Caenorhabditis elegans: one gene and its partner. The protein of the gene in region 1 interacts with the protein of each later gene in a pairwise test. Each region holds a gene or a part of one and is shown on either strand. Other genes may lie near its edges.

Region 1 (12,001 bases):
CATGTGTTTTTCATCAAAAATATCGCCCCCTTTCACCCATCATTTGATTCCTTTTCCGGAAATAAGCGCCATTCATTTTGTGTATGGGTGTGAAAAGATTAATGAGTTATGTAAATGCAGATACCCATGTGCCAAGATATTTATTTTCAAACAATTCTAGCATTTTTTTGACATTTAATATTTTCTGATTAAAAAAAAACAATGTTGTCTAGGTACCGCGTATTATGCTTTTTCAAAGTTTAAAAAAGGGCTACCATATACACTTTTTGCGGAGCGAGGTCCATTCAAATGTTCGTAGGTTTCAGAAAATTGCAAAAATACAGTACACAATTTTTTGTTACAGATCGATTCTTGTTAAAAAAAACTGGGGAATTTGGCAGAAATAATCGGAATAATGGTGATGGAAATGTGTATCGTCAATCCATCTTTAGCATTACATCATCCTTCTTGCAAAATTACGTGCGTACACAACAAATATATACGTGACATGTTGAACCTTGTACCTCCCATGTTATGGTTGAGATCTTGAGCTCATTGCAAAAGTTTAACGATGCTGATTGAGAATTATTTTGAGAACTTCCAAGAATACCTGGTTATTAGCCAAATTCTACATTAAAATTCGAGATTCTTGAAGAATTACTAAAGTAAAAATGTTTCCAAAACTCATGGAATATGAAACGTAATTGCAAATTTGAAAAGAAATTTTTGAAAAATAATAATGCATTTACCTTTTTTAAGATATTTTTATATTGATCATTTCATAATTTTTAAACAATACTTGAAATTGAGTTCTATTTGGTCTTTTGTTCAATGATTAATCTATTAAATGCACCGGGCCAAATAGAATTATTTACGCAATTAGTTTATTTCTGTTTTTCTGAACATCGAGAGTAACCGAATTGAAATGTAGCTTTCTCAATTATTACAAAATAATTGAATAATGTGCTCTATGGGAACAATGTGCTATAAACAATAAACAATTTATAAAATTGATTCTGAAATTGTTTTACAATCTATAAAAAGTGTCTATAAAAATAAGAATTCCTAGAAAATATGATATTGAGTTCACTTTTAATTTAAAATGTATATTCAATTATTGCTATTTTTCAAGTACTAATCAAAATGTTATATTTCAGTGTTTTTCAGTTTCCAGACTCCATACACTTTCCGGTATTCTTAGAACAATTTTTTTTGAAAGTAGTCAAGCGGGTTATTATCGTGAACTTTGAAAATACATCTTATTTATTTTTTACACCATTTTGAAGCTTTCAAAATATGGAACCAATTCAAAAATGCTTCAGAGCGAATTTCACAATAAAAAGAAATTACCTTCTTCATGAAAAATGACATTTTGGATTTTTGGCATAATTTCCAAAAATTATCTTATTCTACTGAAATTACCAAATATCACAGCTCTCACGGGCGCTTCTCTAACTTTAAAGTCTATTCGGATGTGATTCCATCTGGAATAATTTCAGACTTGGAGCAATAATGTTTGAAATAAAATATTTTTTAATTTGTTTTTAACATTTTTTATTGTTGTGAAACGGGGGTGTTTTGTGGCCCGAATGATAAAAACTGATTGGATAAAACAACAAAAATTATCATCTAGGCGAAACTTTGAATATTAAAATTGAAGAGAAGTAGGAAAGTAATGGGATATGAGAAGAAAACAGCGCATACCACAATTTCTACCGTATCCTGGTTGCGATTGCATCATCTCATCTGCAGGTAGCGATCTCGTCAAGACTTTGATTTTATTGTTTTACTTTGAAATTTCAGGCTTAATTTGTATCAAAATTTTTATTGACGACGATTTCTTATGCAACCAGGGACTCGGGATGGTTTGGATGGAACATTGAATAAATTTGTATTAAAAATTGATGGGAAAACATGAATTGTGGGTGGGAAATGATGTCGCTCGATTGACCTAATTGTTCGAAATATTGATTGGGGGACAGTCAGTCAGAAGCACGAGGGGCAGTGGGACAGAACAAAAAGATAGTCGAGAAGATTTAGTGATGGAAGAACGATAGAAAAAGCGGATGGGCGCATTTGTTGGGGAGAGAAATAATTGAAAATTTAAAAAGAAAGAGAAGAAGAACATGAAAGAAATAGAGAAGAAAAATAAAACAATTATACACATCTTATTAGCAATTTATTTGATGATTTGATGTATGGCGACGCTTTTTGGGATGTTTAATAATCGTCTTCCGTGACGAAAATCTGCAAGAAAAAACAAACGAAAAATGTGAAAAACAAGTGACGTAAAATAATTAAGGTGTTGGGAACAAATTTTTTTAAAGATAAAATGATAAGTAGTAGTTGCTCAGGATTTCTGTTTTCCGACACAGACAAAAACAATTCTTGAAATTTTCTTATTGAAATTAGAACCATTTTTGATTAAAGTATTTGTCTATTCTAACTATGAGCGTTTAACATAAAATCTAAAGTATTGACAAATCAAAGTATTTTCAACAAAAAAAGAAAATTAAAATACCTTGGAGGATGACTTTCCGGTGACAACAGATGAACGATGCTTGGCACGGATGAGGTGAAGGCTGGACTCGGCTTGATCGGCACGGCCCTCAGCATCCTCGAGCTCGTGTTGGTATCTGCGGACTCTCTGGAGGTTTTGCATTGTTACGGACTCGGACTCAGCAAGTTGTCTCTTCTGGATGTTGAGCTTCTCGGTAAGACGATCAGCGGTGTCTTGAGCCATAACGAAGTTCTTGTGCTCTTCATCAACGAGTTGTTGAACCTCCTTGATGCGGCGATCCTTCTTTCTCAAGGCATTCTGGGTCTCCTTGTGTCTTCTGGTTTCCTCATCAAGAGCGGTCTCAAGATCACGGATTCTGGTCTCCAACTTGGCGATGACTCTCTTTCCTCCGAGAAGAGCGGCAGCCTCAGCTTCTTGAATTTGAACTTGGAGTTGCTTGACTTGCTCCTCAAGAGACTTTCTCAAGGCATCGATTTTCATCGAGTGTTCTTGTTCCTCATGAAGTTGTTCAACGGCACGGGCAGCATCAGCAAGAGCACGGTTGGCGCGCTCATCAGCGGCGTGGAGTTCCTTGGTGACCTCATCCAAATCAGCTTGAGCGGTGGAGAGCTCAGTCTCGAGTTTGTTCTTGATGGAGGTGAGGTTGTTGTTGATGGAGATAAGGTCGGAGATACGTCCATTGGCTTCCTCGAGGTCAACCTCGGCTTGCTTACGGGCGCGGATAGCGTTGTCGAGAGCGGTCTTGCATTCCTCGAGTTCAGCAGAGAGAGCGGCGACCTAAACATATATAAAAATGAATTAAGAGACCACAAAAATGATAACTCACCTTGCGTTGAGCGAGGGCATATTGGTCCAAAACTTGTTGCAACTGACGTTGAGTATCCTCCAATGAGGCTTGGAGAATCTTGAGTTGCTCCGATTGCTTTTTGATGGTCTTCTGGGCTTCGATGTTAGCTCTGTAATTTATGAATTTAAGGGTTGAATGTTGAAAAAATTAGTATTTACCTGTTAAGGTTATCAACAGTCATCTCGAGCTCAGCGATCTCAGCCTGGTACTTCTTCTTCAGTCTAGAGATCTCGGACTTCATGCGGGCCTCGGCATCAGCCAAAGCGGCAATAAGTCTGTCGATTTCGAATTGAAGGTTCTTGCGAAGAGCCTCCATCTCTTCTTCCTTCTCTTGGAGACGACGTTCCATTTCGATGCGAAGAGCCTGGAGCTCAGCAAGGGCACGTTGAGCGCGGTTTTCGGCGTCACGGCGTTGAGCATCAGCCTCCTTGAGGGCAGTCTGGAGCTCACGGATTTCTCCGGCAAGACGGGCGTTCTCGAGGTCGAGCTCGTGGAGCTTGCGGTTGGCGTCGGCAAGAGCCTCCTTGGCTTCGTGAAGTTCGTCGTGGAGCTTCTTGTTCTCGCGAGCAAGAGCCTCCTTCTGTTCGACAGCCTTCTCGTACAAATGCTTCATCTTCTGGAGCTCAGCATTGACGGCACGGAGTTCGCGTTGAGCAGCTTCGAGTTCAACAGTGATCTCATCGATACGGACCTTGAGTTCTCCAACTTGTCTCTCGAGTTGTTCTCTGGCACGCTCCAAGAGAGCAATGGTGTTCTGGGCCTTCTCAAGATCAACGATAAGAACCTCGACCTCAGATTGAAGACGAGACTTGGCCTTCTCGAGTTGAGAAATCTTCTGGAGCATGATCTCGATTTGCTCTTCATACTCAGCTTGCTTCTGGAGCATCTTCTTGCGGAGATCCTCAACTTCTTCGTGGTGAAGGGCGACCTCAGCATCGAACTTGCTCTTCCACTGGGTGATCTCAGTGTTGGCAAGGTTGAGCTTGTGCTCAGCATCGGAACGGGCAATCGACTCCTCATCGAGAGCGGTGCGGACCGAGTCGAGCTCGAGCTGAACCTGGTGGAGTTGAGATTGAAGTTGGGAGCGCTCCTGAAATTTCAACGTTCTTTGATCTTCGCACGTTTATGCTTTTTTAATGTCCAGAAATGCGTCAGAGGAAGAAACCCGATATTTCCGCCTCTGAATTTGGCACTTTGGACTAGTAGACTTACGCGCTCGGCATCCTCAAGACGACGTCTGGCCTCCTCGAGCTGTTGAGCGAGGGTGTACTTGACGTGTTGAAGGTTATCGAGTTGAACCTTCTGGTCGTGAACCTCCTGAAAAACATTAACGATCCCTGATCTGCTAACAGAACACACTGAACGAGACAAAAAAACGATGAGGCTCACAGAGCATCCTCCTTTCTAATATCTCGAGTACTCTATTTGCACACACACTCTGCGGAAATAGTAGCGATAAAATAGAGAATTTAGTAAAGAAACCCCCTGTTAAAAGGGGTTTCTTTTTTTCTTTTTACCGCATTTTTTTGCTAAAAAAAAGTAGAAAGATGAGCAGAGTGATCGGTGGCACGTGATAAAGATGATAAAACTAGAGATTATACACATGATACTTCAAAAAACAAACCTTGAGAAGATCATTGTTCTCAGCTTGAAGGCGTTGACGTTGTTGGGCGAGGTCATTGACGTGCTTGTTCAAGTCCTCGACCTTGTTGGCAAGTTCGTTGGCTTGGGCTTCGAAGCGCTCAGCGGCCTTCTCAGCGGTGTGTTTGTCCTTCTGGAGCTGGTCGATAGTGGCGGTCAACTCGATGACTTCGTGTTGGACGCGTTGGCGTTCGCGGTCGATCCTGAATGATGATGATATTGCGTGGGATGGGAGGATATTTGGAATTTAACAAAAAGTCAAGCAGCGGCGAACAAGTAATTCTTGATGTGTCAACAATATGTTTGGCTATGAATGATGTCAGAAAGCAGCCGGTTTGGACAGGTGAAACTATTGATAGTGGGTGGAAAAGTATAAACTAATTTTGGATTTAAAAACATTACGTCAAGAGTTGCACACAATTATTTTCATGGGAAAGTTGAACTCGAAGATTTTTGAACGCAAGAAGGGAACAACTAAAACTTATTTTACAACTGAATAGATCATCTATGTACATTGTTTAAAAGATTAACATAGATTCTAGAAATGTGTTTTAAATTACGGAAGATTTTCCTTGATTTCATTGAAAGTTATTTGAGCAAAAAAAAGAGACATCATAAAATGAATCCATCGTAATTTAAATGGGAAAAATACAGTATTTTTCCTATTAATATACAGGATTTCTCACGCATTTTTGTTGTTGAAATGTGTTCATAAATGAAAAATAACCGAGATATGAGCTGTAAAACTAGAGGATAGGAGGTGCAAGACTAGGCTAGCAACCCCTTGTTATGAAACAAATAATGTTTGATCCTTACTACATTTTTAAATATTCTATAATATGTTCATGCATTCGTCATTCAAGTTCTCAAGCTGTCCCCTTCCCGTTCATCTCAACTTCTCATCCCAACTTAATCTCATTATTTTTTACCACCACCACTGTTTCACGGGAACGCAGATTGCTCGCCAAGCATCAAGATCAATGAGAGAAATGTGAGAGATATTGAGAAGATCAGTAAGACGCAGACATTCTTGTATCTCTCTCATCTCTTCCTGGAAGGCGAAACAAACACACACACACGAGAAACGTTTGTTATTTTACACACTTTGAGCTGATGCTTCTTCATCTTCTTATACTTCTTCTTCAGAGCTTCTGCCGAGCCGCCAACTCCTCCGCTGCCATTTCAACGCGGGAAGATAGAAGAAGAAGAAGAAGAAAATGAAGGCACAAGTACTAATACGAAAAAAAACTTAGAAAATAAAGATAATAACTTACTTGGCATTTTTCTTTTGGAGTTGCTCGATCTGATCTTGGTAGTCGAGGCAGGAATCCTAAAATTTCACGAATTCTTTAAGCTATAGCATAAAGATTACTGTACCTGGTGCTTTTTGCGGAGAACATTCATGGCATCTTCGGATTCAAGTTGAGACTCCTCGAGGAGCTTGCGAAGCTTTGAGAGTTCTCCCTCACGTTTGCGGTTCGATTCGATCTGTAATTATAATGTTTAAAGGTATAAGATGTTTCTTTAAATTGAAATTCATAAAAACTGGAAACTCACTTGGCTGTCGGTGGTTCCCTCGGCATCCTCGAGTCTGTCAGTCAAAGCAATAACTTGAACGGAGAGATCGGCACGCTCACGTTCAACCTGAAAATGGCAATCATGGTATCAGAGATAAAAGGTAAAAACTCACTCTGTTGCGGAGTTCGCGCTCTGATTCCAAATCCTCTTGGAGAAGACGGATCTTGTCCTGAAAAGTGAAACTGTATTAATTTGTAAAATCTTTGAAGAATTAATTGTTTCAAGAACTGATTCAGATAAAAAAAGTATGGATTCCGATTCTGATTGAACTTCTTGATGAACCTTATTACACGGACCTATAAATTTAGTGCCGAGTGGGGAATATTTTTAAAGTACTGTGAAGATAAACATCCTGACGTCACAAATTTAAATGTCCCGGAATTTCTTGAGATCAAACGACAAGAATACACTCGTAGCATACAATTCGATATTACCATTTAGTTTTTTTTTTGAATTGATATCTAAGCTTAACAAATAATGCATTAGGTTTCTTCGAAATTTTACAACACAGTGTGGGAGATTATAAGAGAAACGTGAAAATAGCTTATAGATATGAGAGACGTAGAGTGCATTTTTTGGAAATAGACCAGCGAATGATTTGGTAATTGTTTTTATTTTAATTGACAAAATGTTTTTGCAGGCAATTGGCAATAATCGCAAATTCAGTAGCTAGAACCATGAGAAAATATGGGGTCAAAAAATAATTGTTTTTTCAAAGAAAAAAAGCGTAATTTTTGTTTTTTATAAGTGCTATATTTGAAAATCTGAGAATTAGGGTTCTACTTTTTCTTGGAAATATATGTAAGCAAGCAGTAAGTTAAACAAAGGTTGCAAATCTTAGTTACACAAAGAAACTAGTTGCCGAGATGAATGATGAACAGATTTTTCAAAATGAAGATTTAGAATAAGGAATCTAAAGGTTTAATTATAGAGAAAACTAGGAAGTTTAAAAATTTTTCTGAAAATAGTGTTTTGGCTCGGAATATTGTTTTATTCCATACATTTTGATGCAGAAAAATAATATTTACAAAACTGAAAACGCCGTTATTTGTCAATCATTCAATTTAGGGACAAAACAAACATTTTTCTTGAGACTGAGGAGTACTGTAAAACTACAATTTGAGATTTTTCAAGTTTTTCAATTCTTCGTTGCTATATTAGATGCCTTTTTTACTAAAATTTAAATTACAGATATAATTCAAAATATCAGTCAATGAAACATCGATTCGATGAAAAATGGAACACGGGTTTTGGGGTTTTGGCAGTGAAATGTTCAGAAATGGTAGAAAACATTCAAAAATTTACCTCGAGTCTGGTGAGTGATCCAAGATCGGCGACGGACATGCTGCCAAATGGAGCACCGAACGCTGCTTGCGACGGGCTCTTAAGAAGAGCAGCGGATGGCGAACGATACAATGACATGATCAAATGGAGTATTCAAATGGATGGTGCCCCTGTGTGTGCTGCTGGCTGGCTGGCTGCTTCGAGACTGACTGATTGTGCGTTGGGGCTCTGCCGTCGGGAAGACACATACACACATATCTCATCCCGCGCCGTTGCGTCGTCGATCGTCTCTCTGTCTCCAAGTATCTCTCATCATCAACTTCTACGAAGGTAGTGTGCCCGGCAGGGAGCGAGAGAGGAGCCTCAGTGTAATCCTTCTTGCCTAGCACTGAGCCACCCTCCCACTCTACGCTGCGTATCTGATAAATGCCATTGTGTTTTTGCCAACGAGTTGGCGGGATACGATCTCGAGAAGAGCGCGCCGAGAGCCGAAGCGCAGACGATGCATCAGGCACCCGCGGGCCAGGAGGTTTTAAACATTCGAATGATATTGGTTTGGTTCGGGTTGAGGCGACACGGAAGAAATTCAGCAAAAAGGGATGAGCACAGACAAAAAACATCGGGATCCACCAAAAACTTCAACTCGTGTTTGTGTGTGCCTTTTGAATGTCCGAAAGGGCAGGTGTGAACTTTGACGAACGGATAGTAAAACGAAGACCACTTAAGAAAAAAGAAACACAAAACCAGAAAAAGCGAGACTGAACTGCCATTAATCGAATGCCATTCCACCTATCAGTAATCAACTCTTACTTTATTCAGGCTCTTCAAGCCTGGGTTGTCTCCAATTTTCATTAAAGTTTCTCAGAACTATACTGTTACCTTTTAGATGATCCATTTTCATAAATTTATAAAAGTCTTCTATTAATGGTAATACGTCTATACAGTCGAAATATTGAAGAATTCCAAAACTCGGTTGTCAACTATTTGAAATTCCTTAATTACAGATAGTTATGCTCTCTTCTTGTCCATATCTATTAATACACTTCCTTAATTGATAGCCTTGTCATATATGATCTGATCAATGTTTTAAAAAGTTCTTGGATCTCATATTCTGAAGAAATAAGTGCGAAGTGTGTAATAATTGAGTGTATCCCGGAGAATGTGTGTGTGTGTGCGTGTGTGAGGGGGTGGGGGAGCGTATCACAACAAATTGTGATGAAATCAAGTTTTTATTACTTCTATAATAACTTGGTATTCAATTTCCAATATATCGGCTCTTCCGAATGTTTTTTCATTAATGAAAAATAGGCTTGATAAACTGATTTTCAAACTGAAATTGTGTCATGACGTCAAAAAATCAACGTTTTCACTCCAAATCCCGTTACTTCTTGTGACTCATGTCATTTTTAAATAAGTGTTGTGAAATTTCAAAATCTTTTCTAAATTTTCAGAATTTTACTTCCATTACGACTGATCAACCAGACAACAAAATACTCTTGTTGAGCAGTGTCAGCTGACAAATCGTGATGACCGAGATAATTAGTTGGTTGCAGAAGCAGGGGATGGTGAAATGTACTGACATTCGTTTGAACTTAATTTCAGATTTGATTATAAAGAAAAAATCTTGAACATTGTAAGTTGATGTTTATTGATTGCAAAAACTAGGATGGTTTTACCCCGCTAACAACTTTCTGAGGAAATATCGATTGTCGCACATTTCCATTCCAAAACGTGACAAAAACTTATAAAATGTAATAGAAAACGGTAGACCATTTATATTTAACTTTTACAAAGAGTGGACATACCTTTGAATAGTTTTTGTTAGACTTTAGTAAGGCCAGATTTTGGTTAAACCTTGCATACGATTTCCACAAGATTTCTAGCAGTGCTGCCGCTTGTTAAAATTATTTTTAACATAACTTCGAGAATATATGCTAATAATGCTGTAAGTTTTCTCTCAAGATAGAAACTTGGAACTACTGGATTTATCATTTTGTAGACAACTATCCAAAACAAAGGTAGATCAAAGCATTTTAATTTGTTGATATCTTCCAGATTTATGCAGTGAAACATGTTAAAGTGAAATATACTTGTAGACCGTATTTCATTTTATCTTTTTTGTTTTTAGCACTATTCCTTTTATTAGGAGAAGATCTAAAAACAACATTTTTTAAAGATATTTGCATATTTTTAAGTTATGCAATTTTGATTAATAGCTATATATTTGTCACCTTTCCATCTTTTGTCCATCCATTTTTTTCGTGATCATTACAAAGAATCTCTTCAATAGAATTCCCTCCAGAAGCCGCCCATTCTCTCTCATCGGTCTCCACTGCCATCTCAATATCTTTTTTTGCCACCGTACACTCTCTGAACTCTTCAGTGACAAGCCCACATCTCACACTCTTCTTCTACTACACATGCTTCTCTATCACATTTCTTTTTGTGCCTTCGTTGAAATGGCAGAAGGGTCCGGGAGCACAGAGGATCTTTCTCTCTGTGCTACTCGAGGAGCAAGAATGAAGAAGCATTTTTCGGCCCCGCATTATTGTTTTAAAGTATTGGCAACTGGGAGGAAAAGAGATATAGATACTCAGCAAAGGAGGACGATAATGAAAAATTTCAGCCGAAACATGAGATCAATCTTCAAAAGAATATTAGAGGGAACATGTCAAAATGTTCAGATTTTAGAAAAAAAAAATTTGTTTGAAAAAAATTTTAAAAATTTCGGAATTGAGTATTTGAAGATAGTTTCGAAATCATTTGAAAGTTACTGTTCTGATATTATACAAATATCTAAAATAATTCGAAAGCACCGAGAGGAGCTTATGTGGTTTTGCTATGATTTTTTGTTTCATGTTATCAAATGTTTACAGCTGAAAATAATAAAATCAATACTGTTTAGCTTGAAGAAATTTTATTGCAATAAAATTCATCACATTCCAGAAAAATTTAAGTTGATTAGAATCGAGCACGACGACGGACGACAGCGCTTCCACTGTATGTTCCTGTGGCTCCATCTCCAGCTCCAGCTCCTGCATCCGGTGCACCACCGGCAGCTCCAGAGCTTGCATCCGCACCTGTAGCAGCACCTGCTGGAGCTTCTTGGGCCAATCCTGCTGTTCTTGGTGGGCATGGACAATAGGCGGCGTCGACTCCTGGTGCTCCATCTGTTCCTGGCCCTCCTGGCGCTCCTGGAGCTCCTGCTTCTCCGTCTTTTCCTGGTGGGCCCGGTGGCCCCGGTGGTCCTGGTGGGGATTCTGGAGCAGCAGCGTCTTCTCCAGCTGGTCCAGCTGGTCCTGGAGGTCCAGCCGGTCCAGGAGATCCCGGTTCGTTGGTACTTGTAGTTCCTGCGGCTCCTGGTTGTCCATTTGGTCCTGGTGCTCCTGGCTGCCCATCTGGCCCCGGTGGTCCGGCTGGTCCTGCTGGTCCAGCTTCTCCTGGTCCAGCAGCATCTCCATCAGCTCCAGGAGCTCCTGATGGTCCTTCTGGTCCAGCATTTCCATCTGGTCCCGGTGGCCCTGGTGGTCCAGCAGGACATTTGATACAGTTACCTTCGACTCCAAGGAAACTATCAGCAACTCCTGCAGCTCCATTCTCTCCATCAGTTCCAGCGGTTCCAGGCTCTCCAGGCGCTCCATCTTCTCCTGGTGCTCCTGGTGGTCCTGCTGGACAACCAGTTGATTGAGCAGCACAGTTACATTCTCTTTCTGTACCTCCGCCGGTTGCATATCCAGCAGCTCTCTTTGCAAGAATATATCTTCCAAATGATGGAGACGTTGCTTGATTCTGAGGAAGATTTTCTCGAACCATTTTATTCCAAACATCATTGGCTCGAGATTTGAAATGAACCATTTCGCTGTTGATATTCATTTCAAATTGTTGAATATCAAGAGAAATTGAGTAAAGAGTCAGCAATGATGCGACAACGATCAACGAGCAGCCGATCGTCGACGAAAGAATAAAATAATAGGATGTACTGTGGGACATTGGATACCAAATGAGTGATGTTTTCTTCCATTTCCACTTACTTATATATGAATTATTTTTGTACTGATCCAATCGGTTTCTTGTTCCGATATTCATCTTTTATTACAACACAACCGTTTGATATCTAGTTTTATGTTTTACTATTCATTTACTATGAGAAT
Region 2 (9,767 bases), on another chromosome or scaffold:
CATTGGGTGATCGTTCACATAAACTCCGTCAGTGGTCGTCCATTCTTTTCCCAATCCTCCAACAATCAATTCGGTATCCTTAACAGTGATCCATTCTCCTTTAAATCCCTTCACGACGTTTCCTGGCCCATCGTTCAGTAATACCCAGGGAAGTGCCTTCAAAACAATATTATATTTTTTAAAAATCAATCCACTACACAAATATCATTGTTTAACCACTCATCACTCACCTTCTTGTCACTAATTTGATAAATAAGACCTGTTCTATCGTCAATTGAGTACAGTTTACCATTGAAGACGGCAAGGTCAGACAACTCCATAGCGCGTCCACCGGCGGCAATATTTCTAAAATGATGATTTTAGTAATGAAGTCAAAACAAAAAAATCTATAAAAACACATTTTGTAAACTTACGTGTCAACATAGTACTCCGAGTCTTTGTCAAAATGAATATCGGCATGCTTGTGGTCTGCAGAAACCTGAAATATAAATTTGAAAATTTCCTATAGCGATTCGAAAAAAGCAAGTTGCATTTTATAAAAATCATATTGGTCAAGCTGAGCATAATGCATTAGTTTCTTGCCGTCCTTCTCACCTTCAAAAATCCACGAGAGACCAAACTTTTCCACTTCTTCCCGTCTTTGCTGTCATGATCCAAATCGGTGATCAACATTATTGAGTATTCTTTTGCTCCATCATCAAACTTCTTTACCGAATACAAGTTAGCATGGTTGATGTGCTGTAAATGGATATGTGCGCAATCAGCTGAAAATGTAAAGAGTTACCTCTTCCTGTTCGCTAGATTTGTTGAATTGGGTACCCGAATAAAAGGCAATAGCGGTCACAAACCCGAAAAGAAGGAAGTTGAAAAAGTTTGAGTTACTTTCTTGTGTCATACCTAAAAATTATTTTTGTGAGTCTTAATTATAAGCATTAATTGAAAGTAAGAGATTTGAGAAAATATAAGTAGAATAAAAAAATAAAAAATGGTGTAGTTTTCCGAGAGTACTTCACGGCCGCGTGGCCTAGTTTTTTCAATGGGGACTCGATATTAATAACGAACACAAGTGCGTGTCCCAAATTGCATTTGCTTTATTGAGTGAGATATCGTGGCTGTGAAGTGGCAAAATATTTCGAGAACCGTTAATTAAACAATTTTATACATTTTTAAATAATGAATTCAAAATGATGCAAAATAAATTTAAAAAAACGTACAACTTCTAGAACAACGAACAATTGAGCTGTCTCGCTATCATCATCTTATCATTTTTGCTATCAAAAAATCGGTTGTGGGTTGTCGTAACACATCACAGAAGAAAGATTGATTGTGAGAGAGCCGGACAACATTTGTGCTAGCGGTCAATGTCTTTCCCGCTTAACATGGTCCCAATTGTACGATTGACCAGGAATCGATATTTCAGGGAAAGAAGAAAATACCAACAAGACATGACGAGAACAGTATTTATAGAGTGTGTCTGAGTGCGTTGGAAACACACGATTTTTGTGCTTTGTAGTCAATTGTAGTTTATGTTGAACACAAAACGAGTTTCTGCTGCTGACCGTCTTTATAACGAGCGTCTTAAAAATGTGAGGAAAAGACAAAATGACAAGAAATGAGAAAACGATAACACTAAAGAAAAACGTTGATTTAGTTGAAAGAAAGAAATATGAGTTATATGAAAGAACCATATCGAATATACATTTTGAAGGACAAATATTGTTAAAGCTAGCCGATGTTGAAATATATATATATTTTACAAGATCTGGATAGATTTAAATACTAAATTAGAAAAATTTTAAATACTCAGGGGTTGCTCAGAATCGCGGAGTCACGTATCCGCTTGTTCTTGGGAATAAATAGTAGCTTCTGGAATCAGTGTACCCAACTCCTTCCCTTCCCATCATATAACGAGATGCTCGAGGATTGAAGTACTTCTCTCCACGATGACTGTACATGTGATATGCAAGACCACGACTGTCAGAGTAGCTTTTCGAACAATATTCACAAATGTATGGTTTTGAACGAACGTCGTTGTACACTCGGAGTGGATGCTTCGGCTCGTATCCTTCAGTAACGAAAGCTGGCTGTGGAAGATCTTGCTCGGAGACCGGTAGGACTCGCTTCTTGCTTACTTTTATTGTGGTTGTCTGAAGTATTTCAAATTATATTGGTAATCTTCATTCTTCTCACAAATGTATTCCTTGTTAAAGTAAAAAAACGGTTTCGGCTTTTTTTCCGTGTGATTTTTAACAAAACCAAACGAACGAAATTTGAAATACTACTTCTCAAAAATTACTTAAAAACTTGTTTATGGGGGTTCAAAATTTTGAAAAGGCAATACCCAAATTTCAGTCAAAAACTCGAGTTGTTTCAATTTTTCCCAGTCACAAAGACTTAGGTAGCAAATTGTGGTAATTTTTGGTCCCTAATTGCTTGAAACGTATCTTCATTAACAAAACAACGTAAGGTAAACGACCAAAACATGTTTTTAAATTTGGAACTTTCTTCGGTTTCATAACTTCTGTTTCATAACGTTTTCTTTTTTTTGCACTGAAATTCCATCTGTTTAACAGTTGTGATGCAAGAAGTAAGTGCAGTCGTATCAAATTGCACCCTCTCACAGGCTATCAGCAATTTTTTTTTGTTGAGAAAAATATTTTTTTTACGTCAGAAAGCCAAGACACACAAAGTTTTTGTTCACAATTTTCTCACATCAAGGACTATGAAAACCAAATACAAAATTGAAAAGCGAATGGCTGGATGAAAAGGTTTTGATAGATTTTGAGTCGAAAGAACTGAAGAATAAAAAATCAAACATTAAAACAGCCATAGCTAGATTCTGTTGATTTTTTTCCGAGAAGTTCGTAATTCAGATTTTGTTTCAAAAAGCTCTACTGATTAGTAAAATCTAGTAAATTTATTATTTCTCAGATTTCTCAATTAGACAAACCTCTGGAGCACCTATCAATTCGAGTGGATCGTCCGTGTGCTTGTGATATAACATTTCCGTGTAAGAAAAGAACGTCCTTCCGCATTCACACTTGTACCCGTCAATTTCTGAGTGCTGAGCGGCATGATATTCCAGTTGGCAAGCAAATTCAAATGAGTCTCCGCATTTTCCACAGACATATGGCTGAAACAAAGAGTTTCTATAAGTAATCCAGCGAATGAAAACCTGTGAAACGTCATGTATTCTCTCGTGTGCACGGAGAGTGTTCATGAAGTTGAATGTGAGTCCGCAGAAACGACACTTGTAGAATACAAATCCGTTGTCATCTTTTTGCACACTAGTTCCGTCCTGACGCACTTCCTGCAATAATCACTTTTCATCGACTAAAAGAGTCTCTTTTTCATTTAACGCCTTCTTCATTCCCTCCCTTCTTCAGTTTTTCCTTCATCTTATATTTTTCTTCCTTTTATTCCCATTTCCCTCATTCTTTCACATTCAAGCTGTCAATGCTCACATCTATATTCCGCACATTTGGTTCGTGTGCTGAAAGTGAGCGCATCAACTTCAACAACAACAGCAAAATGTTTATTCACAAACAAGAGTAAGTCAACAATACCCATGTGAATTAGCTTGGGAAAGGAGAAGAATGGAAATGGATAGGTTGAAGGAAAAAAGCATAAGGAGCAGCAAGAAATTATATTCCAAGTTAGTATTTGAAAATGATAAGAGAAAAATAAAATCACAAACAACAAAAATCATAATTTGTTTTTTTTTCTTCTTAGCATCCTGCTGAGCTTTCTCTTCCAACAAATGTACAGGACATGGTTACTTCGACAATGGGCTAAATTTAAATTAAATTAGAACTGAGTTTGTCTTTGTGTATTCTGGCAAATAAGTTTTTACTAGTATGCTAATTATAAAATTAGAAAATAAAACCTTTTCTAAACTATCTAAAATTCAGCAAAAAATTAACAATTTCTCTCAAACAACTCAAAAAATATAGTTTCATTTTCTCCGGAAATTTTGCCTGTACAAACCTATAGACTACATTCCTAATCAATGTTTTTTTAATTAAAAATTATTCAAAGCACGAACTATTCAACAAAAAATGCACAAAAACACACACTTCATAAAAACAATAAAACAAACCTGTTGATCACTGCCATCCAAAGCACCGCCACTCGATTTTGTTGGAGTTTGAGCACTTGAACTTCCGACCTACAATAATTTACTTGATGCTTTTAAAATCAAATTAGGATGGCGCTGTTTTAAAGTATTTAAGCGTTTTCAGACACTATTCAGATAATTCAACATTTTTTCACTTGTATCCAAGGGTTGAAAAATGTCAGTATGAATCCAATCTTAAAAACATTTAAAAAAATTTGCCTTAAAACCTATCAAACATTTCAATCTCTGAAATTCTTTTTTTTAAATTTTACCAAACTCACATATGCTTCAACTGTTGGGGCAACAACTTTCATGATCTCTTTGGGCTTTTCCTTATTTCCATTTTCTGACGATTCTCCATTGATGCCGAAGGTTTCTAGACCATGAACCATCTGGAAGGTATTTTTTTAATCATTTCGCAATACAGACACCCCCGCGTTTTTCTCCGGTTTTTCCGTCATCTCTCGGTTTCTCTAACTCACTTCATTGTTCTTCACGGACATCTTGGCAAGATCACAGGCATTCATCAACTCTTCGAAGTCATCTCTTTCCTTTCTTGCCTAAAAAATTCAAATTTAAGTAAAGCTCACAGTGATCAAGAACAATACCTCTTTGAAGATGTCGTCATCCATTGTTGTATCTGGATATCAGCGGTTAGTCGTCGGAATGGGGGTGAAAATTGTCAGAGGGTAGAATGCTCGGTGTGGCTAGCTGGGGTGCTCAACACACAGTGTAAACTCAAGAGACTCGTCGCGATCGAAAAATGCGAGAAATCGCCTCTGCAATCTCTGGATCTGATGTGCTCTTTTGAAATGCTCCCGCTCTCTCATTTCCTTTCCTCGTTGGATGTTTTGCGGGACACTTCTGTGTCTGCAGTCTCCCTCAATCTTGCTCAACTGTCTTAAAGAAGAAAGAGATCTTGACGACACAAGTAAAAAAAGCGTCTAGATTGCAGTGCTCGACATAACTTCAAAGCGGAATCATGTTTCTGAAATGAATGGCACAGATGCTAGTGTTTGTGGGTGACATACATTTTGTGTAGTACGTTGAACACGTGCAAATGATTTGGAGATGTGGGTACAAACAAAAGAAAGAGTACTTTTTTTTTGAAATAATAATCGAAAAGGATCAACGAAGTTTATATTTTAGAAATTATTCAATATGAATTGTAAAAATATTAAATTACATACTGTAAAACTATTATTTGAAACTATGCAGGATTATGAAGCTATTGTTTTAAATGTGAAGCATCGGTCAGGGTGATTTTTTGTAATCACTCCTTTATACAGTGATAAATAATCTAAAATAATTTTGCTTTCAAAAAGGTAGTTATCATTCAGTTTTCACAAATCACAATCTTGGAACACGGCAAAAATAGTTTTTTCTACATACAAGTTTCATATTCTAACTATGATTTGATCATTTGTATATACATATATTGTAGACATTTAAAAAAATGCAGAATTGCTCTAATATTTTTCATAGGTTCAACTTATTCTAGTTGTGGCAATTTACCACAACTTTGAATGAAAATTCTCAAGAATCTAAACGGTTATGTGGGACTTTTATGACTTTTAATTGGAATAAACATTTTACTGGAGCTGCACCACCTTCTGGATTGATCGGATCTTTCTTTCATGCATCACAAGCGGGCTAAAAGTGCACCAATGTTGAAATTTTACACAACAAAAATGCATTTAATTGTTAAATTTTTAACAAGTATAAAGTAACCAGACCCTTTTTCATTAAAAAACAGTTTTCCGTATTTCCTCTATTAGTCTTGCAGCCTCTATTAGTCTTGCAGTCTCTAATAGTCTTGCATCCCTCTTTTTTCAAGACCAGTAGTACTTTGCGGAAACGTCAGCAAATTTGATATTTTTGAGAAAATAACCTAGAAAATGATCAAATAATTTATGAAATATTGCAAAAGTATATATTTTTATCGTTCAGCAAGCTATCGAGTTAAGTTTTCAACAAAAAATAGGTCATTTTTTCAAAGATGGGGCATTCGAAAACTAGTCTTGCAGCCTCTAATAGTCTTGCAACCCTACAGACCAATGGAAAATTAGTCTTGCATGCAAGACTAATAGAAGAAATACGGTATATGAAACAGTCTCACTACTCGGGCTAAATATAAAGTTTTAAAAGAGAACAAGCGACTCACTACGAAATTTGTTTTTTTTTTCCAGCACATTTTGAGTCAATACGTTTATACCACGAACCAATAGCCCTACTTTATAAAATCCTCTCTTGTCAGAAAAGCCGGACCTCCTAGATTTCCATACTTACTGTGTACTTGTGGCCTCACAAAAACTTCTTACATAAGTATCTTCCCTTATGGAACAGTAAAACTACATTATTACCGGTTAAACGTTCCCGCCCCGCCTTCGCAGCGTTTATTAGCTTTTTACCCCTTGATAAATTTCAAGGGGTAAAAAGCTAATAAACGAATAAATAAAAATTTAAAAAAACTGGTACATTTTAAAACGTTTTTATAGGATCAAATTATTGGTTCTTTTTTTAATACTACATTCGTTTTTAGTGTCAAATATTAATTTCATTTTGTGGGCAGAGGAACATTTTGAATATGAATTTAGAACAACGCACCATGTCTATATTTCCGGTTTCTTCGCGTTTATTATCAGAGAATTACCTGAAATCCATCACACTCGATATAAAATGCCTTAATTCATAACTTTTAAATTCAAATGACAAATTCTATCTATTTTTATTACCAAGTAACAGTCAACATATTTTGTCTAGTCCGTCAATGAAAACATTCCAACTTTCCGTCTCAAGTTGATGAATAACTATGAAAATGATTTTTTTAAAATCACCTTTATCGTTTTCCAATCCGAAAATTAAACTTTCAATCCGAATTCCATCTTTTCCAATAAACGTGCATTACCGCAGTGGTGGCCGCTATCAAATGCTATGAAATCAGAGTAGTTCCAGAGTCCAGAGTCTCATTTTTCATTCTTTTCTCTTCTTCTCATAAACAACTAATTTCTCTCCCAGCAAACCACCCTAACATTTTCTGTAATGGTTCCTCTTGACTTTTGCTCTTAATGCACTACACCGACTCGGCACGTCATATTTTCATGGTAGAGAGAAACATGAAAAAATGAACACGAAGAATGACCTTTTTGTATAGTGATTCTTTGAGTTGTATCTTTATCAGTTGGCCTCAATTCTTTCGTGTCAAAGAGAAGAAAGTGTGGACAGATTGAGGGGAAAATGAGATAAGAGAACGTTTGGCAAGCAATAATGGATGGGTCAATGAAACCTCTAAGAGTACAGATCTATTGCGTCAATTATGGCATGAATCAAATCACCTCACTAACTTTCGTTTTTTACCTTTGTACCGTTGGGTTTGGAGTTGTAATGGGTGTTCAAGAATCCTAACACTAGGAGCAAAACTTCTATCAGAAAAGTTGTGTAATAAAAATTTATCTTGCCGTTTTTTTTCAATTAAACTTTTGAGCAGTTGGGGTCAACCAACGGAATCTTATATATTTGAAGAAACTTTGGTGGCTCTGCAATAAAATAATTTACAAGGTGAAGTATGTGTTGTTATGATTAATAGTGTTTTCCAAACGTTATCAATGTATTTATCATTGGTATATCACATCCATTCTTTGAAATCTATGATCACTTAAAATAGTTTTTCAAAAATTTTCTTTGACGCGTATTGTTGATAACAACAATGACAGTACCACTTTGGCAAACAAGACTAATGAGATAAATACTATATACCTATGTAAATAAATAAAGTTTATCCAAAATTATCGTTCATAACAAGTGCTTTTTAAGATGTGGAATTTAAGTTTAGTTTTAATCTGACAATTTGTGTTTTTTTATAAGTTTTTAGAAATGCAAATGAAACTGCTATCATAATTTTGACTTATCAATTAAAAAAACTTTGACGTAACAATTAAAAGGCACACGTTGTTTTTGGGTCTCGCCACGATCTTATTCATAATGACCGCGTCAGGTGCCAAATTCTACAGACTTGTTAAAAGTGAAGTAGCACCACTAGGGAAGTTGTTAAAACTACTTATAAGGTGTCAGTTTAATCCAATATCAAAGTAAAATTTTCAAAAAGTTGTTGAAAAGTTGTTATTTTGTTTTAAAATGATCTTTACTAATTTCTTGCCACTGTTTTGGTAGTCTTCGATCAAACAATTTTACATTGGTATTTTATAGTCTACTAAGTAAGTAAGTAAGTAAGTACTTATGTTTCAACATTAATTTCAAATACAAATATTAATATTCCCCCATTGTAGGGATTCGAACATGCGGCAGTCTATAGTTTTCTCAAAAAAAAGCAATATCAGTAACTCTCAATAAACCTTTTGTATATTTTTTCGAAAGGTTTCACTATGAAATTTTGTAATTTTTGCACAATTGAAGTGTTTTTTTAAGAATGTCCCTACTGGTGATACTCCACTGTTAACTGGATGTAGAAAAATGTTTATAAAACTTCCAATATCTAAAAGGCACCAGAAAGCCAAAATTTATATTTTCTGGCAAGAATAGACACAAACATTTCAATTCCTTAGACCTTCTCATAATTTCTTTAATGACTCATCTGTGACTTTCTTTTCTAATCGCGCATTCAAATCTTCTTCTTCATCTTTACCACCTCTCTCTCTCTCTCTCTCTCTCTTTGGCCCATCATTTCCCGTGGCCTCCATTTTTTTGTGCGTGGTGTCATTCGACCACACAAACAAACACAACGAATGTAGTAGTATAACCTGGTGGCTCATTGCCCAGATGGCTGTTCGCCGCGTGTTGCGCTCTGTTCGGCTGCCCTTCTGCTTGGTTTTTGTCGTCTTCTCAAGTTGTTTTGTTTTTTTTTCTTCTTTTCTCTGTGTCTCTCTGCTTCTTATCCTTACAGCGTCTTAATTATACGCTTTTTCGGAAGATGCTAAAAAACAAAAAATATAAATGCTAACATTTTTTCTTTAGTTGCCTGGGTCCCATCACTAGTTCTGTTTGCCCATGTGTCACATATTTTTTTTGCCATTTTCTCTTGTGTGTTGCGAAACTCGAAACAAACAACAAAGAATTAATGCATTAGCTGAGACATTTTTTTCCATTTATTGTTGTAGTTTTAGAGTTAAAATTATGCGTATAATGTTCACGTCAGATTTTAGATTTTCAAAGAGTTTGTCAACTCAAAAAAAAGTTTCAAAACTTAAAAAAAGCCTTTGTTAAGAAAAACTATTTTTCTGTGAAAACATCGCTTAAAAAGGGAACTCAAAAAAGCAAAAAAGCAATGTGCCACGTTCATCTTTTATGTTTCTTTTTCCGCTCCGTCCAGCGTCTTTTTTCCCCCCATTCGCCTTCTCCATCGACCCTTTCTAACACCGCTTCTTCCCTTATTTTCACTAGTTCTCTAATTCGAAAATTTTTGCACGCACTCTCCATTGGCACGTTTTGCGTGGCTTCAACTCACAGAATTTTAAATTTGTGACATCACTTCTTTAAAAATTTGCCCACGTGGCGTTGCACACTTTGTCAGGCTCGGCTTAGGTCGATTGTGAAACTTTGGAAGTAGAAAATGGTGCGATTTCTCTGAATCGCACGATAACCGAAGACTTTCGCCCTTGAGGCGTTGCGCTTATCAATTTTTTTTACGCCTTTT

What was found.
Region 2: the proteins of unc-15 (region 1) and unc-98 interact in a two-hybrid assay, tested with the Caenorhabditis elegans proteins (one study listed by BioGRID).

What each region holds. Positions count from the first base shown.
Region 1 is NC_003279.8:7,375,096-7,387,096, forward strand, and holds unc-15 (Paramyosin), read right to left. Parts: upstream 8,103-12,001; 5' UTR 7,989-8,102; coding exon 7,872-7,988; intron 6,736-7,871; coding exon 6,679-6,735; intron 6,633-6,678; coding exon 6,546-6,632; intron 6,477-6,545; coding exon 6,366-6,476; intron 6,319-6,365; coding exon 6,263-6,318; intron 5,192-6,262; coding exon 4,972-5,191; intron 4,665-4,971; coding exon 4,560-4,664; intron 4,438-4,559; coding exon 3,506-4,437; intron 3,457-3,505; coding exon 3,327-3,456; intron 3,278-3,326; coding exon 2,501-3,277; intron 2,227-2,500; coding exon 2,200-2,226; 3' UTR 1,792-2,199; intron 1,727-1,791; 3' UTR 1,509-1,726; downstream 1-1,508. Other genes in the region: col-35 (Nematode cuticle collagen N-terminal domain-containing protein), read right to left, coding at 10,812-11,840. UniProt on the Caenorhabditis elegans protein: Structural component of the muscle thick filaments which is involved in assembly and organization of sarcomere myofilaments. Involved in ovulation.
Region 2 is NC_003284.9:7,568,826-7,578,592, forward strand, and holds unc-98 (Zinc finger protein unc-98), read right to left. Parts: upstream 4,765-9,767; 5' UTR 4,750-4,764; coding exon 4,726-4,749; intron 4,678-4,725; coding exon 4,600-4,677; intron 4,510-4,599; coding exon 4,399-4,509; intron 4,169-4,398; coding exon 4,100-4,168; intron 3,552-4,099; coding exon of another isoform or gene 3,532-3,551; intron 3,311-3,531; coding exon 3,176-3,310; intron 3,134-3,175; coding exon 2,951-3,133; intron 2,148-2,950; coding exon 1,815-2,147; 3' UTR 1,549-1,814; downstream 1-1,548. Other genes in the region: Apyrase apy-1, read right to left, coding at 1-156, 231-345, 414-478, 595-738, 785-895; pcyt-1 (Putative choline-phosphate cytidylyltransferase), read left to right, coding at 3,532-3,551. UniProt on the Caenorhabditis elegans protein: Probable transcription factor required for muscle structure.